2 linked regions of the Arabidopsis thaliana genome follow. The protein of the gene in region 2 interacts with the protein of the main gene of each other region in a pairwise test. Each region holds a gene or a part of one and is shown on either strand. Other genes may lie near its edges.

Region 1 (8,357 bases), about 13 Mb from region 2:
CTTGTATTCAACTCATCTCAAGTTCTTTGTTAATGGTGTTTTGAATCCTTCCCATATGAATGACTTTGAGCACTCTGGGATGCTTCTCATGTTCTTCATCCTCGGATTTATCGCTTTGCTCTCCGAGAAAACAAGGTATTAAAAATGTTCTGTTTAATGATACCATTTATGGCAATGATAGTTATGGGTTGGATCTTTGGTGAGTTGAGAAATCAAAAGTTGTTTAAAGTGATTCTTGACTTGGTTTTTGATGAAAACTATCCTAGAAATGGATCTAGATCGTTGATAATATGATTCAGTTATTGATAGATTCATCAAGATTGGTATTTTTCTTTGAAGTTAGGTTGGATCCTTGGTGATTTTGAGAACTCAAAAATAATTAACTAATGATTCTTGACTTGGTTTTCAATGAAAACTATCCTAGAAATGGATCTTGATCATTGATAATAAGATTATCAATAAATCAATCGTCAAGATTGGTATATAACTTTAAAGTTAGGTTGGATCTTGGGTGAATTTTGATCCTAAATATTCATTATTCTAGACTATGGTTGTTAGATCTAGATCGTTGATAATATATGATTTGACTATAGATAGATACATCAACTTTGGTATTTAGCTCTGAAGTTAGGTCGGATCTTTGGTGGTATTGAACTCAAAAGTGGTTTACTAGTGATTCTTGACTTGATTGTTAATAAAACAACCATAGAAATTGATGTAGACGAATATATATGAATCAATTTATTCATCATGATGCTTTATTTTTTGTCTTAGGTTACTTCCTCTGCCACAAGAAGCTCTGTGTCTAATCGCTGCAACAGCTTTTACGGCAGAGTGTCTTCTCTTCTTCTTCCACTCCACAAGCCACAAAGGTCTTGAAGGTTATTACCATCTCCTCCTCGTCTTTCTCATCGGTCTCTGCGTCATCTCCTCAATCGCTGGAGCAATCTGCCCTACAAGCTTCCCAGTAGATCTATGCAATGGCATTGCAATGACTCTTCAAGGCCTCTGGTTTTATCAGACAGCTTTCACTCTGTATGGCCCTATGATGCCTCAAGGCTGCAGTTTAAAACAAAACTCTGTAGTTTGCAGATCAGTTGATTCAGAAGTCTCAGGAGAGTTTCTGGCTAATTTTCAGCTCTTTTCATTGGTTCTTGCTGTTCTTGTTTGCGTTGTGGGTTCATATGTTTTTGCAGCTTCAAGATTTGGAGTAAGTAGATGAGAGATTTAGTAAGTAGAAATTAGGATTTTGTTTTCCTCTTCTTCTTTGTTTCTGAATTTCAGAAAGAAATAAAGTAATAGTCTTTTTTTCTTCATCTGCATTTGGAGGCGTTTCCGTTTCAAGCAACCAAAACTTGTGAAACACACATAAAAGTAGTCTTTGTGTCTGCAAATAACGAGCCAATTTTGAGTTATTTAGTGTCATTGCTTTATTTTCTAACAAACAATATAGCAGAAAGATGAATCTCAAAGAAAGAGGACAAAGTGTTTATTGAAAACTCACTGAAAATTGATTATCATAATATTTTATGCTCTGAAGAAAGAAGTGACGAACAAAGTGTTTTCACTTCCCATTACATTAGAGGCTCAAAGCAAAGCATATATAGAAGAGTACATATACGTATAACCCCAATGCCTTTAAGTCTTCGACTTCACCTGAAAGACCTTTAAACACTGATCCAAGCAAAGTTGGAAGATTAACACGATAGAAGGAACCAATTTCAATGTGGATGGATGGTATGGTCTGGTTGTAACCTCTCTAGAGGTACTTGATCATACCCCGACCTTCAACGCTCACTTTCGTAGCTTGTAGCCGCTTCTTCTTTGTTCCTTTTAGCTGCTGAAGTTTCTTGTTCATCTGCAGTTATAACACAAAAGAACCAGCTCAAGGACTATTAGAGAAAAGAAAGAGCAACAAAGGGTTTTTGTTTATATACTGTCACAAAAAGGTCTCAGATTTTGAGCCAGTACAAGGCTTTCTTGAAAAGGATTTCACTTGTATTTACCATACCAAATCAGTACTTAGATGGTGTTTTGTTTGTCAGTGAAAAAAAGATAAACGGTAGAAGTCTTTTTACCTTGACCCGACGCTGGTCCTGAGAAACCTGTTTTGCACGGGCTATGATCTCATCTGGATCAATCTTGGATTGAGGACGGATCAAAAAGTCCAATGGGGTTGCTTCCGGCCTCATCGTCATTTGCCTGTCTCCCCTTGAACTCTGACCCGAAGTCAGACCAGTTTTACGTTCCCTGCATATTTTTCAACAAACAATGAGTAATGTTAAAACATAACTTTTAGAAGTTCATATATCTACAAATTTGGAAGATTTTTTCCATACCGAATTTCCAAGTCAAAGTCACCATCTCTGGACTCCATTGTCGCTTTGTTGCTAGGTCTATCCCCAGTAGAACAAGAAGAGAAGCTATGAATCAGTATATGAAATGTGAAAGCGAGTAAAATAAAAAAAATAAAGGTTTCGGGAAATACTTCTTCACTGGTGGTCTTCTATAGGGAACCCTATCTTCATCGAGATTTCTCATGTCCTCAAACCTAGTACTCTTGTTGAAAATTGGACGAGACTGCATCATCAAGTATACAGTAAGTAACTGGCTGGAATTTGATTCGAGGGATTGGAGCTCTTGAAAAAGATGATTACCCATTTATCAACCAAATCCTTAGCAAGTCGTCTGTTGGAATTAGTTTCCTCGTCGGACTTTGATAAGAACATAATGACCTGCCAAAGCCAGAACAAATTTAAGTTCCTGAGTATAAATCCTACATACCGATTCTTGTCAATTTGAATCAGGTAATGTATCCTAACCTTTCCAAGCCCACTCTTTTTCAATTGCTCCCTTCTATCATACTGGTCCAAGTCAATCGGAAACTGCAAGACAGACTCAGTAATTGGTAAAGCAGCTAAAAAGGCTCAAAATCACGGAAAAACCCTCAACAGGAAAACAAGAGCATACATCAGTAAGAACTCTTAGAATAGCTGCACGGATGTTTATATTTGGCAAGCTTCCATCTGGAAGAGGCTCAAGCCAATTCTTCAACAGGGTTAAAACTCCATGGTCCAGGAATTCTGTTTGAAGCTGCTTCCTGGATAACGAAAAATAAACGTATTACAAAACAGATTGTTAGAAAGAAACAGTATAAGATAACAGTAAGTTAGCAACTTACTTTCCAAGTACATCGGTAAGAAGCGAAAGTTTCTTAAGCTTGTTGATAGCAGGCTTCCCCTGTCTATTAAGTTCTGCATCTTCCTCAGCAGTAACCTCAAGCTCAGCCATCACATTCTCAACCAAAAGCGCAATTTCCGCAGGATTTCTTTCAGTCTTTTTCTTTTTCTTCCCCATTTTGAAAAGGTTATTTACCTCATCTTCATCCTCACCCTCTTCTGCCTGTTTATTCATAACAAAAGCATTTTGTATCAACAAACAAAAGCTAGACTCAAAGATCAAAATTGAAGATACACTACTCATACCTGAGGATAATGAGTTGGAGAACGGTCTCCAGCGTCACCTCCATACCTCTCAGAAGGATCCAAACCAGTATCGTCAATGAAATTATCATCATCCATAGTCCTAACACCTTCTTCATCATTCTACAACAGAAACGAAACACTTTTATAAGTCGAAAAAACAAAATTCTCTCTCAGGCAATCTTATAACTATAGTCAATCTACTGCACCTCTGGGTTATGAGCAATAGATTTCCACATCTCATCAATCTCTTCTGACTTCCTTTCGCCACGATTCGGAAACTTATGCCTCTTCTCCTTCCCACTACCACTACTACTTCTCTCTTTCTCCTTCTTCCTCTTCCTACCAACCTTATCATCATAATCAGTACTACCACCACCTCTTCCTCCCATAAACTCATCAAACTCAGCATCATCCACATCCTCATCAATCAATTCCGGAACATCAATAGTCACACGTTCACTAGAAGATTTCTTCACCAATCTCTTCCTTGGTTTAGCTACTTTATCATTATCATAAACAGGCGTTTGTGATCCTTCACCATCCCAATCTCCAATATCATCAGCCAGATCTTCATCAAAATCCTGAAGTGGCTCTGTAGATGGCTCGCGATCATTCCCAAAATCATCAAAGTCCACTATTGGCTCTCCATCTACATCACGGTACCTGGAAAAAAAAAATACAAAATCTTATGAATCTGAAACACAAAGGATTCAAATCAATAGGAGATTGAATCTGCCCATGAATCAAAACACTCTCTTTTCACAAAAACGAAATCGAAATTTGGGAAATTGAAAAGAGATCGATTTTGGTAACCCTAGATTCAATCAAAGGTGGGATTTTTATCTGCACAACGAAGCTAAAAATATGAAATCGAAGAGAAAGGATTAGAATTTACGGATCATCCTCGAAACCCATTTCTTCTCAGCTTCCAGAAAATGATTCGAAAGAGATAATTTACGAATTCTTTGATCTTCGAGTTGTTGTGAGAGGCGAAGAGGAGGGAAGGGAAGGGAAGGAAGAATTTGGGATCGGGCTACTATGGAATATTCGACGGTCACGATTGAAGAATTATTTTAACAGTTTAGATCTCGCCACGTCATCAATTCTCTGAGTAACAGCAATTAATTAGTATTGACTATTGACTTCGTGTTAACAAAGTCAACTGTCTCTAGTCAAAAGAGACAAAACATTAGATCAATTACTTGTGAGAGGAGTTGTGAGTTGTGACTAACTTTTACTTGTCGTTTGAACCGACTACAAATAAATATTGATGGTTTGGGGATGTTTATAATCTATACATCAAAAATGGTTAAATCGATATCAAACTTTGAATGGCATATATGCTTTCTAAAGCATAAGAGGGCTTGGTGCCTAAGATTGATGTTAACGAATTTGAATTCAAGTATGAATCTTGATTGCATTAGCTTAACGTCTTAAATTGGTGCATTACAACATATATTTGAGGATGTTGCTCTGTATACATGGACCGAGGATTTATAAAAAAAAAAACATTTTGAATCCCGCATATTTTGTCTCTCTATTGACTCATTCATCTACATTATACAAGTGTTCAAAGTCCTCGTACTCGTCATGATTCTAACATATCTAGGAACCTTCCGTCATATAATTATCTTGAACGGTTTAAGCCCCTATTCGAGAAACAGTCATGGTCGTTGTCTCTATACCAAGTGTTGGAACTAATTAATACATAGCATTGTGGAAAGCAAAATCCAGGTTCCTATATTAAGAGAACTAAACAGAAACAAAATAAAGATCGAATATTGACTAGTTTTGTTTAGAGAACATTGCAAAAGAAAAGAAGAAAAAAAAATCAAAATGAAATGCAAGAAAGATATAAGCATTGCTAGTGTTACACCTTGTTGCTTAGTTTCATCTGCTTGTCTTTACTTTTGCGCTTCGTCTTCTTCTCTTTCCTTTTGCGTCCTGCATTGTGGTTGATTTTCACCAAACTTGGAACATAATAAGAGCAAGAGCACACAAGCGGCGAAAAACAATACACGCGTTCTCCGACCTCCACAGATTCTTGGGAGTTTGCAGCTTTTTCAAGATCCACTGTTCTCAAATATCTATTATCTCCAATGACGTAAGCCGTAGAGGTTTTAACTTTGTCTGAACTAAAAAACACGACAACTTTCTTCTCTTCGTCAATGAAAAAACTGTCATTACGATCATCAAAGCGAAGATCAATGCATGGTTTCCTATCAACTCTTAAGAATTTGCTCCACGACTCGACATTAGGATCAATCTTAATTGTCATCCATATCTCTATCATCACACATGTATTTTTCCAGTATAACACTGCGACTGCAAGTTTCTCTTCTTTAACAGAAGATAGAGTCCAAGTATCCCTAAAAGAATGTTTAAACGGCAGAGGAAGAATCTGTCCAAATCTCTCGGTTGTAAAATCAAAACACAGTATAAAATCATATCCATCCTATAAATTTTTATCACCATGGGAAAGAGTAACTATTGTTTTTTTATCTACAAGAACTCTTAACATATCCAAGCGCCTGTAACGATGCGTTTTTGAGACATTTATCTTTGGTGGGGGAGGGGATAGAAGAAGTTAGTTCAAGTGGAGAAGAACTTTCTCGTACGAGTAGTTTTTTATCACATGGTTCTGACTCAGAAACAAAATAATAATCGACTAATCTTGTTCAAAGGACATTACAAAACCAAAAAAAAAAAAAACGCATGAAAATGAAATCATCAATTAGTCTTCTTCTTTCCTTCAACTAGTAGAGATACACCTTGTTGGTTCGCTTCCTCTTACTCTTCCTCTTCTTATCTTTCCTTTCATGTTCTGCATCTTCTTTAAATTTCACTAAACTTGGAACATAAGAGCAAGAGCACACAAATGGTGAAAAAGAATAAATGCGGTCTCCGACCTCCACAGATTCTTGTGGGTTCACAACTTCATCAAGATCAACTTCTTTCAAGCATCCATAATCTCCAATGATGTAAGCCGTATTGTTGCGTTCAGATTCGTCTATATCAAAAACCACGACGATTTTCTTCTCTTCGTCAATGAAGAAACTGCCAGAATCATCGTTAAACTTTAGACTAGTGAGTGGTTCCATTTCAACTGCTAAGAATTTGCTCCATGACACCGCATTCGGCTCTATCTTAGTTGTCACCCATACCTCCATCTCATAGGTATAGCAGCGCTGATATAAGACCGCAAGTTTCTCTCCTTTAACACAAGATAGTCTCCCAGTCTCTATAAAATCATGCGAAAACGACAAAGAAAGAAGTGGTCCAAATTTCTTTGTTGTAAAATCAAAACCGAGTAAGCAATCATACCCTTCCATTACTTCTCTTCCCTCAGTCAAAAAATAAGCATTTCCATTTAACGACGCGCCGGGCTGATAACATTTTAACCCCTTGTTGGGAATGCCATAAAAACAATCCCATGAGTCAGAAGAGTTCATGTCGTAAATCTCGTAGTAGCCTTGTTCAGAAAAAAACCTCAAGATCATGTGGTTCTTGTTGTTGTCGTACCCGAGAGCATATGTAACGCCTATGTGGTAATCATTCCTAGTTTTGATCCAACGAATTTCTCCCAAATACGGGTTCCAAACTACGAGCTTGCTTGAGTGGTTCCTTGTGACGCATAACAATAAACCTTCGCAATAAAACACTTTAGATATCTCGACTTGATTAAGTAAATTACCTATTGGCTTTATAGATGGATCAATGAACTCTTCACTGTTTTCATTGAGGCCGATTCCATGGAGATTGAATCTCATGGAATAAAGCCTATGATTCATTATCGTGAACCCTAAAAACTGATTTCTAGCTTCTGTTTTACATAAAATCCGGTTCTTGGAAAGAACGTTCCATAGTTTGCAACTAGATCTCACTGCTTTAAGAGAAGTTATCGGAACCCTACACAATATCTCTTCGACTAAATCAAGTGAAAGGTCGGACATCATCGTCATTGTTTGCAAATAGAAAATTAGGGTTAACTTTCACGCCCACCACTCTTTTTTACGAGGATTATATGTGCATCAGAAAGAAGACACACCTTCCTCACTAGGGTTTTACTTTTTCTATACAAAAAAAAATTCTTACTTTCATAAGATAAATAAATATGTGGTTTATTTTGCAACAAAAATAATAATATTTATGTGGTTTATAAATTATAATCGATATTAATTGTTAAAAGTAAAAAACTTTCTCACTAAGTTAGTAAAATGGTAATTTCCTTTTATGAGAAAGCATTCTTGCTAATTGCTATCATCGGAGTTATTAGTTTGTATCGACTATGGTGGATCTTACACATATACGTATTTGTTTTTAATATGATAGGAATACTACTATCTTCTTCTTCTTCGTGAGTCTAATAATCCTTTATTAAACCCTAGAATTCACACTATTTCTACTTTTTCTCTATCGAATCCCGTAAGCCTCACGTCAACAATAATCCGGTTTAAATCTGGTTCACTATTTCTTCTAAATTTGTAAGAAATAAAGATCTTTATATGTAATTGATAAAATGTGGGAACAGCAATGCAATTGATAGGTTTTATGGGGTTAATTGCATAAATAAAAGAAAGATTTGGGCTTAATTTTAAATGATATATTCCCTGTCAAGCCCACGCAGCTTCCTCCTCCTCTTCCCCGTCAGAAACACGACACGAACCAATCACCAAAAAATTTCTACCTCTTTTGATTCTAATCAATCTCACTCCAATTTCTGCAAAAATCAAACCTTTTTTTTATATTCATTTCACATCTCTGTTTTTCCTCAGATTCCTCAAACATTACAGATCTTCAGGTAATTTTTCCCCTGATCTATAGTTTTAATTACGTTTGAACAATAATTCAGTAACAGTTTAGTTTCTTACA
Region 2 (7,609 bases):
TTTTCTTTCTTCCTGATTAAAAGACAAAACGCAAAGAGAACAAAAAAAAAACTTGTTATTTGTTAACTAGATTTAGGATCATTTTGGAACAAAAAAAATTAGAAAGCAAAGGTTTATTTATTGGTTACCTGAAAGACAAACAAGGGTTGATCATCTTTGGGCAAACTCTGAAGCTGACTTGTAACCAATTGAGCAAAAGCTGGATTTGGATAAACCAAATCTCCAAGTTCCTCCAACGTGTAGTCACTCGCCGCCGTCACAAAGCCAGCTCCAGCACCGTTACAGTCAACATCAAGCCGTCCAGAGCTAGGATCCACGCGGAGTCTCCCGGCCAAGAACTCATAAGCGTCCATGAGTTTCACCAACGCCTTTCTCAGCTTCTCCGAGACCATCTCCGGTGGAAACTCCTTGTTAGGTCGGAAGAAATGAACTGTTTGAACGTCAAAGTTGAGAATTTGGTCGACGTTGGATAAGAACATGGATTTTCTCTCGCTGGTTTCTTCAGATGGGAAAATGAGTGTTGATTCTTTGATCGTAACCTTAAGATCTTCAAGAAGCAACGGTGGAGATTCTTGGTACGAAGAACCCATTTTGCAACCCTTCTCTCTCTCTCTTTCTCTCTAAGTTAATTAGGTTTTGAGTGAAGTTTGTGATTTGGGTTTCAGACTTAATCTATATTATATAGACTAACACGTAGTAAAAGGCGTTTTTAATTTTATCTTGGCTTTATGATAATGTACGTGTACATTATAGTATGAAATAATCCATGGAGAGTAAATTATTGATCCCATAATAAATGTGACTTTTTAATAAAAAAAGATATGGTACGGATCGTTACAAGAACAAACAAAGCAGTTTCGTGCTACGTAGACGTCGTTTTTATCCAGTCACATGAAAACGTTATTCTTTAAAAGCTAAAATTGTCACTGTTGTATTATTGTGTTGTGTTTATAGATTTGGGAAGAATGATGGGCTGCATTGGTGGGTGTGAGTAGGGTTGGTGATTTATGTTTTTTAAAATTTGATAGGAGAACTTTGATATGTCGGTGTAGCTACATAATATGCATGTGATATATCAACCTTTTTGTTGTGATATTTGCCAAACTTTGACTTCTCCATTTGTGGTTTATGGAATAATACGATTTTTACCCATTTGCAGTATCTCATTACGGTTACAAACTTACAATCTACAATTAGTCTAGTTTCTAACCTTTTTCTTGCCATATTAAAAGGCATGAACTCAAAATATGGCCGAATCCAAGCCCGGCCCGTTCATAAAAAAGCCGAAACATTTGTTTTAGGCCACCTAATATAAAAAGTTTTTAGGGCCTCATGTGTAAAATTTGTCCTACAATATAATTTGTCTAGTGTTATATTTATTTTTATATATGTCCAAATGTTTATATTATTATCAACTTGTTATTTAATTTTAAATATATCAATTATAAGATTTAAAACTTTTTCACAGTTTAAAATTTTATATTTTTGATAAAATTAAATTGTTTAACTAAAAATTAAATTAATCTATAGACAAACTTTTAAATTTGAATCCGATTTAGATTTATTTTAATTTTATTTATCATATAAATTTAAATAATTGTTTAAACATTTTAGCCGATGTAACGTTTTTTTATTAATTATTAATGTATGTCTATTTTCTTATATTTCGAATTATCGAATTAAATATTCTCCACTCTAATTATAAGATAAGTTGAATAAACTTTGTTTTGTTTTTAGTCTCGACTTTTTTTTCTTTACATTTCTTCAAAAAGTATAATAATTTTTAAAAACATTATTAAAAAAAAAATATTTCTAAAACGCAGAGAAAAAATTGAGGCAAATCTGTCAGTATAAACTTGTAATTTCATCGTCTCCGTCTTCTTCTTCGTTTATCAGTTCTTCGTCGCCTTTCGCTTATGAAAAATTCACACTGGTAAAGCTTCTTCCTTTACCAAACCCATTTCTCTTCTCTAGCTCCTTCTGGGTTCTCTTTTCGAAGAACCCTAGTAATCGCGAGAACCTTCTTCCCCCTTTCTCTTCGCAAAATCAGAAATCATAATCACAATCTCTTCGTTTTTTTTTGCAGTTTGCAGGGCTAATTTCTGCGTTATCGTACTTCTAATTTGTTGAGATAAACATGGCGAGGAACGCAATCTCTGACGATGAAGGTACCTTAATCGCTTCGTCGCAAACCCTAATTTTTTTCTGTGTGAAACGCCGTAATAATACTAGGGTTTTGTTTATTTCTTCTGATTTGTATGAAAAAATTGAATCCTTTTCTCTTTTGCGTAGAGGATCATGAGCTTGAGGATGACGACGGAGAGCCAGTTCATGGAGATCCAGCTGAGCATGATGAAAACGATGATGAAGAAGATGATGATGACGGTATAAGTTTTTTCCTTGATTTTGACTTCTCCCAGTGAGAAATGTGTCGTCTTTCGTTTCTTTTTGCTTACCACCCTAAATCTGGAAGCTGTAGAGTCTGATTGCATCGAAGGAAATTAGTGGTATGGTTTGGTTTAGTACTGAAGCGCATGCAGTTCTTTGTCTTAAAATCGATTCATTTGGAGAAATTCTGCTGCATTTGCTCCATTAGAAGATGCAGTGTCTGGATTTGGCAACCAAAAAAAAAAAAAAAGTGAATGCATCTTGTTTCTTAGATGTTTACTTATCTGCTGCAAAGTCTCTCCTTCTACCACTTCTTGTTTCTATATTCTCTGTTTCATACGGTTGCTTGATTTGTTCCTTTTTAGACTTCATGGTTTCTGCAAGTTTTGAGCTGCACACATTTCTCTCACCTTGGGTTTGAGTATTTTTTTTTCTTTTTCTTTCTAGGCTTTTTAACTTAGATTCAGGCTATTTTTGTTCCATGATGTGGGATCCGTATATCTGTTTTGTAGTTGGGAATGAGTATGAGAATGATGGGTTCATAGTGAATGATGAAGACGAAGAGGAAGAAGAGGAAGAAGACGAAGAAAGGAAAGATAGCGATGAGGAGAGGCAGAAAAAGAAGAAGAAACGAAAGAAAAAGTGAATATTTTATATCCTTACTCATTCTCTTAGATTTTATCCTTTTCTAACATATGAAAAACTAAATGTTAGTGTTGACATGCATGATACTTTTGAAGAAATGTTCCCTTAATTCTCAGCAGTCTTTATTTGTGATTTTCATACATTGTTTGTGATGAGTATGTAAGTTACCATTAGACGAACTATAGCAGGTCTGTTCTCTTTCTGACTAACCTTCCATTTATGATAATTTTAATAGGGACGAAGGTCTTGATGAAGATGATTATTTGCTTCTACAAGATAACAACGTCAAATTCAAAAAGGTTAGTCATATTTGTGTATATAACAATACATCAGGATTTTGTAGATACACTAAAAATATATGTGCAGTACTAATACATTTGACTTTTTTCTTGAACCATGACAGAGGCAGTATAAGCGGTTGAAGAAAGCTCAAAGGGAACAGGGAAATGGCCAGGGAGAATCATCCGATGATGAGTTTGATAGTAGAGGTGGAACTAGGAGAAGTGCTGAGGATAAGATCAAAGACAGGCTGTTTGATGATGTTGATGTTGATGGTAGGTTCTCTGTGCCTTCTGATACTATTATGTTGACTGTTGGCACATAGTTGACTATGTACATTTTGTGTCTACTAGATCCACCTGATGATGTAGGTGATGAGGAAGACTTAGTTGTGGAAGAAGATGTAGTTGGGAGCGAGGATGAAATGGCAGATTTTATTGTAGATGAAGATGATGAGCATGGTCCTCCTAAGAGGTATTTTTTTTCTGTCTTTTTTGTGCCCTAACATATCACTTATGTCATGTACATTTTCTGATTCTAATCAACTTACTTTTCAGGGGCAACTCGAAGAAAAAGAAATATAGGCAGGGATCAGATATTACTGCTATGCGAGATGCTAATGAAATATTTGGTGATGTTGACGAATTATTAACAATTCGCAAAAAGGGTTTGGCATCTAATCAAAGGATGGAAAGAAGGCTCGAAGATGAGTTTGAACCAACTGTTCTTTCTGAGAAATATATGACAGGGAATGATGATGAAATCCGCCAGCTTGATATTCCTGAGAGAATGCAGGTGCATTATCTTCTTTAGTTTTCTCTATGTATACTTGTGGTCTATGTTTTCTTTGGTGTTCAAGGATAGATGTAAAGATATCTTGTAAACTTTGACAGATATCTGAAGAAAGCACCGGAAGCCCTCCTGTAGATGAAATTAGCATTGAAGAAGAAAGCAATTGGATATATGCTCAACTTGCTTCCCAACTTAGAGAATCTGATGGAACTTTTGATGGGCGGGGTTTCTCGGTTAATAAGGATGACATCGCAAAATTTTTGGAGCTACATCATGTGCAGAAATTAGAGGTTTTGGATTCATTCTCTCGTTGGATTTTCTTTGATTCATTGATTAGCTTGCTAATGTTTTCTGTCTCTTCTAGATACCGTTTATAGCTATGTACCGAAAGGAGCAATGCCGGAGCTTGTTGGACACTGGTGATTTTGATGGCGCCAATCAAGGCAAGAAACCTGAGACCAAGTGGCATAAGGTAAGCAATTATCTTGGATAAACAACAAGTGCTCAGGTTAACATTTATTGTCAGAGGAAATTTGGTGGATTCTATACTATTTTCCAATGCAGGTCTTCTGGATGATTCATGACTTGGATAAGAAGTGGCTCCTTCTTCGAAAAAGGAAAATGGCGTTGCATGGTTACTATACAAAACGTTACGAAGAAGAGTCTAGGAGGGTCTATGATGAAACAAGACTTAATCTAAATCAGTATCTTTTTGAATCAGTCATTAAGTCTCTTAAAGTTGCAGAAACAGAAAGAGAAGTTGATGATGTAGATTCCAAGTTCAACTTGCATTTTCCTCCCGGTGAAATTGGTGTTGATGAAGGGCAGTATAAGAGGCCGAAAAGGAAATCACAATATAGCATCTGCAGTAAAGCAGGGCTCTGGGAGGTTGCAAACAAATTTGGGTATAGTGCTGAGCAACTGGGACTTGCATTGTCCCTAGAAAAACTGGTCGGTATGCTTTTATATTGTTTGATTTGCATGTTGTACTGGAATGGCAGTTCTGACGCTAAATGAGTTGCAGGTTGATGAGCTTGAGGATGCAAAGGAAACACCAGAGGAGATGGCTAAAAACTTTGTGTGCGCAATGTTTGAAAATTCTCTGGCAGTTCTGAAAGGTGCACGGCATATGGTATATACTCTGCAATAATACTATTTTTTGAATTGCTTAGCTGGGTTTAATATCAGAAGGACTTCCCTAATCACTAATGCGGAGATATCCCATTTTTCCTTGTTAGGCTGCAGTTGAGATAAGTTGCGAGCCATCAGTCAAAAAGTATGTCCGTGGCATTTATATGGAGAATGCAGTGGTCTCAACAAGTCCAACAGCAGATGGAAATACAGTAATTGATTCGTTCCATCAGTTTTCTGGGATTAAGTGGTTGCGTGAAAAGCCATTGAGCAAGTTTGAGGGTGCACAATGGCTTCTCATTCAGAAGGGAGAAGAGGAGAAACTTCTTCAAGTAACCTTCAAGCTGCCTGAGAATTACATGAATAGGCTAATTAGCGACTGCAATGAACACTATCTAAGTGTTGGTGTTAGTAAGTATGCTCAACTCTGGAATGAGCAAAGAAAGTTGATATTGGAGGATGCACTTCATGCTTTTCTTTTGCCATCAATGGAGAAAGAAGCAAGATCCTTGCTAACTAGCAGAGCGAAGAGTCGGTTGCTTTCAGAGTATGGACAGGCTTTGTGGAACAAGGTGTCTGCAGGGCCATACCAAAAGAAAGAAATGGACATTAATTTAGATGAGGAAGCTGCACCGAGGGTCATGGCATGTTGTTGGGGACCTGGGAAGCCACCAAATACATTTGTGATGCTGGACTCATCAGGTGAGGTGCTTGACGTGCTTTATGCTGGATCCCTTACATCGCGATCTCAAAATGTTAACGACCAGCAACGTAAAAAGAGTGACCAGGATCGTGTTTTAAAGTTTATGATGGACCACCAACCGCATGTTGTGGCTTTAGGAGCTGTCAATTTGTCTTGTACTCGTCTGAAGGATGATATTTATGAGGTAAGACTTCATATACCATAATGACACTATGTTCGTTGACTTATGCTATTGCAATGTACATGTTCCGAGTTTGATCTTGAGATAAAGGACCTATATCCATATGGTTCTGGATAACTGTGGTCACTGGTTTACTTAATTAGTTCCTCAGTGCCTACTTTGTAGAGACCTGGATTTTGTGTGTTTTTCATCAATACTTTCAAACTCGCTATACCTTTTTAGACTTCAACTGCTTTACCGAAAATGATAATGTTATATATCTGATGAAATAAGCTTAAGTTTCTGCTTTTATATCACTTTGTGAAAACTTAATCGCTGTGTTTCAATTTTCATAACTACTCCTCTTGAATAGTAAAATTTTGTTATGCTTTATTCTATATATCAGGTCATATTCCAGATGGTGGAGGAAAAACCTAGAGATGTCGGACATGGGATGGATGATTTAAGCATTGTTTATGTGGATGAATCACTTCCTAGGCTATATGAAAATTCTCGAATCTCGGGTGAACAGCTACCTCAGCAGTCAGGGAACGTGAGACGTGCAGTTGCTCTTGGACGCTATCTCCAGAATCCACTAGCAATGGTGGCAACTTTATGCGGTCCAGGTCGGGAAATTTTGTCTTGGAAGCTTCATCCCTTGGAGAATTTTCTTCAGCTAGATGAGAAGTATGGAATGGTTGAGCAGGTTATGGTTGACATTACAAACCAGGTTGGAATCGATATTAACTTGGCAGCTAGCCATGATTGGTTCTTTTCTCCTTTACAGTTCATTTCTGGACTTGGGCCTCGGAAAGCTGCATCCTTGCAGAGGTCGCTTGTAAGAGCTGGTTCAATCTTTGTCCGCAAGGACCTGATAATGCATGGACTTGGTAAAAAGGTTTTTGTAAATGCTGCCGGTTTCTTGCGCATCCGCAGAAGTGGGCTGGCTGCTAGTAGCAGTCAATTTATTGACTTATTGGATGACACCAGAATCCATCCAGAGTCGTATAGTCTTGCTCAAGAATTGGCGAAAGATATATATGATGAGGATGTCAGAGGTGATTCAAATGATGATGAGGATGCGATAGAAATGGCTATTGAGCATGTGAGAGATCGGCCAGCTTCTTTGAGAAAAGTTGTCCTTGATGAATATCTTGCCAGCAAGAAACGGGAGAATAAGAAGGAAACTTATAGCAATATCATAAGAGAATTAAGTTGTGGTTTCCAGGATTGGCGGATACCATTTAAAGAGCCAAGTCCAGATGAAGAATTTTACATGATTTCAGGTGAAACTGAGGACACCATAGCGGAGGGCAGAATTGTCCAGGCCAGTGTTCGGAGATTGCAGAATGGAAGAGCCATATGTGTATTAGATTCTGGGTTAACTGGGATGCTTATGAAGGAAGATTTCTCAGATGATGGGAGAGATATTGTTGACTTGGCGGACCAGCTGAAAGAAGGCGATATCCTCACATGCAAGATCAAATCGATTCAAAAGCAGAGGTATCAAG

What was found. Proteins that work in one complex are often made in the same cells at the same time.
Region 1: the proteins of GTB1 (region 2) and IWS1 interact in a two-hybrid assay, tested with the Arabidopsis thaliana proteins (one study listed by BioGRID).

The regions. Positions count from the first base shown.
Region 1 is NC_003070.9:11,557,387-11,565,743, forward strand, and holds IWS1 (Transcription elongation factor (TFIIS) family protein), read right to left. Parts: upstream 4,514-8,357; 5' UTR 4,401-4,513; coding exon 4,381-4,400; intron 4,149-4,380; coding exon 3,692-4,148; intron 3,606-3,691; coding exon 3,486-3,605; intron 3,403-3,485; coding exon 3,182-3,402; intron 3,101-3,181; coding exon 2,971-3,100; intron 2,886-2,970; coding exon 2,823-2,885; intron 2,736-2,822; coding exon 2,658-2,735; intron 2,581-2,657; coding exon 2,489-2,580; intron 2,397-2,488; coding exon 2,340-2,396; intron 2,251-2,339; coding exon 2,079-2,250; intron 1,859-2,078; coding exon 1,760-1,858; 3' UTR 1,369-1,759; downstream 1-1,368. Other genes in the region: AT1G32127 (plant viral-response family protein), read left to right, coding at 1-135, 775-1,222; AT1G32140 (F-box family protein), read right to left, coding at 5,356-5,940, 6,257-7,447. UniProt on the Arabidopsis thaliana protein: Transcription factor involved in RNA polymerase II (RNAPII) transcription regulation. Involved in transcription elongation. May function at post-recruitment and elongation steps of transcription.
Region 2 is NC_003070.9:24,308,856-24,316,464, reverse strand, and holds the start of GTB1 (global transcription factor group B1), read left to right. Parts: upstream 1-1,825; 5' UTR 1,826-1,933; exon of another isoform or gene 1,934-2,006; intron 2,007-2,086; 5' UTR 2,087-2,137; coding exon 2,138-2,168; intron 2,169-2,292; coding exon 2,293-2,385; intron 2,386-2,596; coding exon of another isoform or gene 2,597-2,638; intron 2,639-2,900; coding exon 2,901-3,030; intron 3,031-3,268; coding exon 3,269-3,332; intron 3,333-3,436; coding exon 3,437-3,587; intron 3,588-3,665; coding exon 3,666-3,786; intron 3,787-3,869; coding exon 3,870-4,107; intron 4,108-4,205; coding exon 4,206-4,394; intron 4,395-4,468; coding exon 4,469-4,576; intron 4,577-4,668; coding exon 4,669-5,055; intron 5,056-5,128; coding exon 5,129-5,236; intron 5,237-5,342; coding exon 5,343-6,122; intron 6,123-6,504; coding exon 6,505-7,609. Other genes in the region: GLC (HXXXD-type acyl-transferase family protein), read right to left, coding at 129-590. UniProt on the Arabidopsis thaliana protein: Transcription elongation factor that enhances the transcription elongation by RNA polymerase II (RNAPII).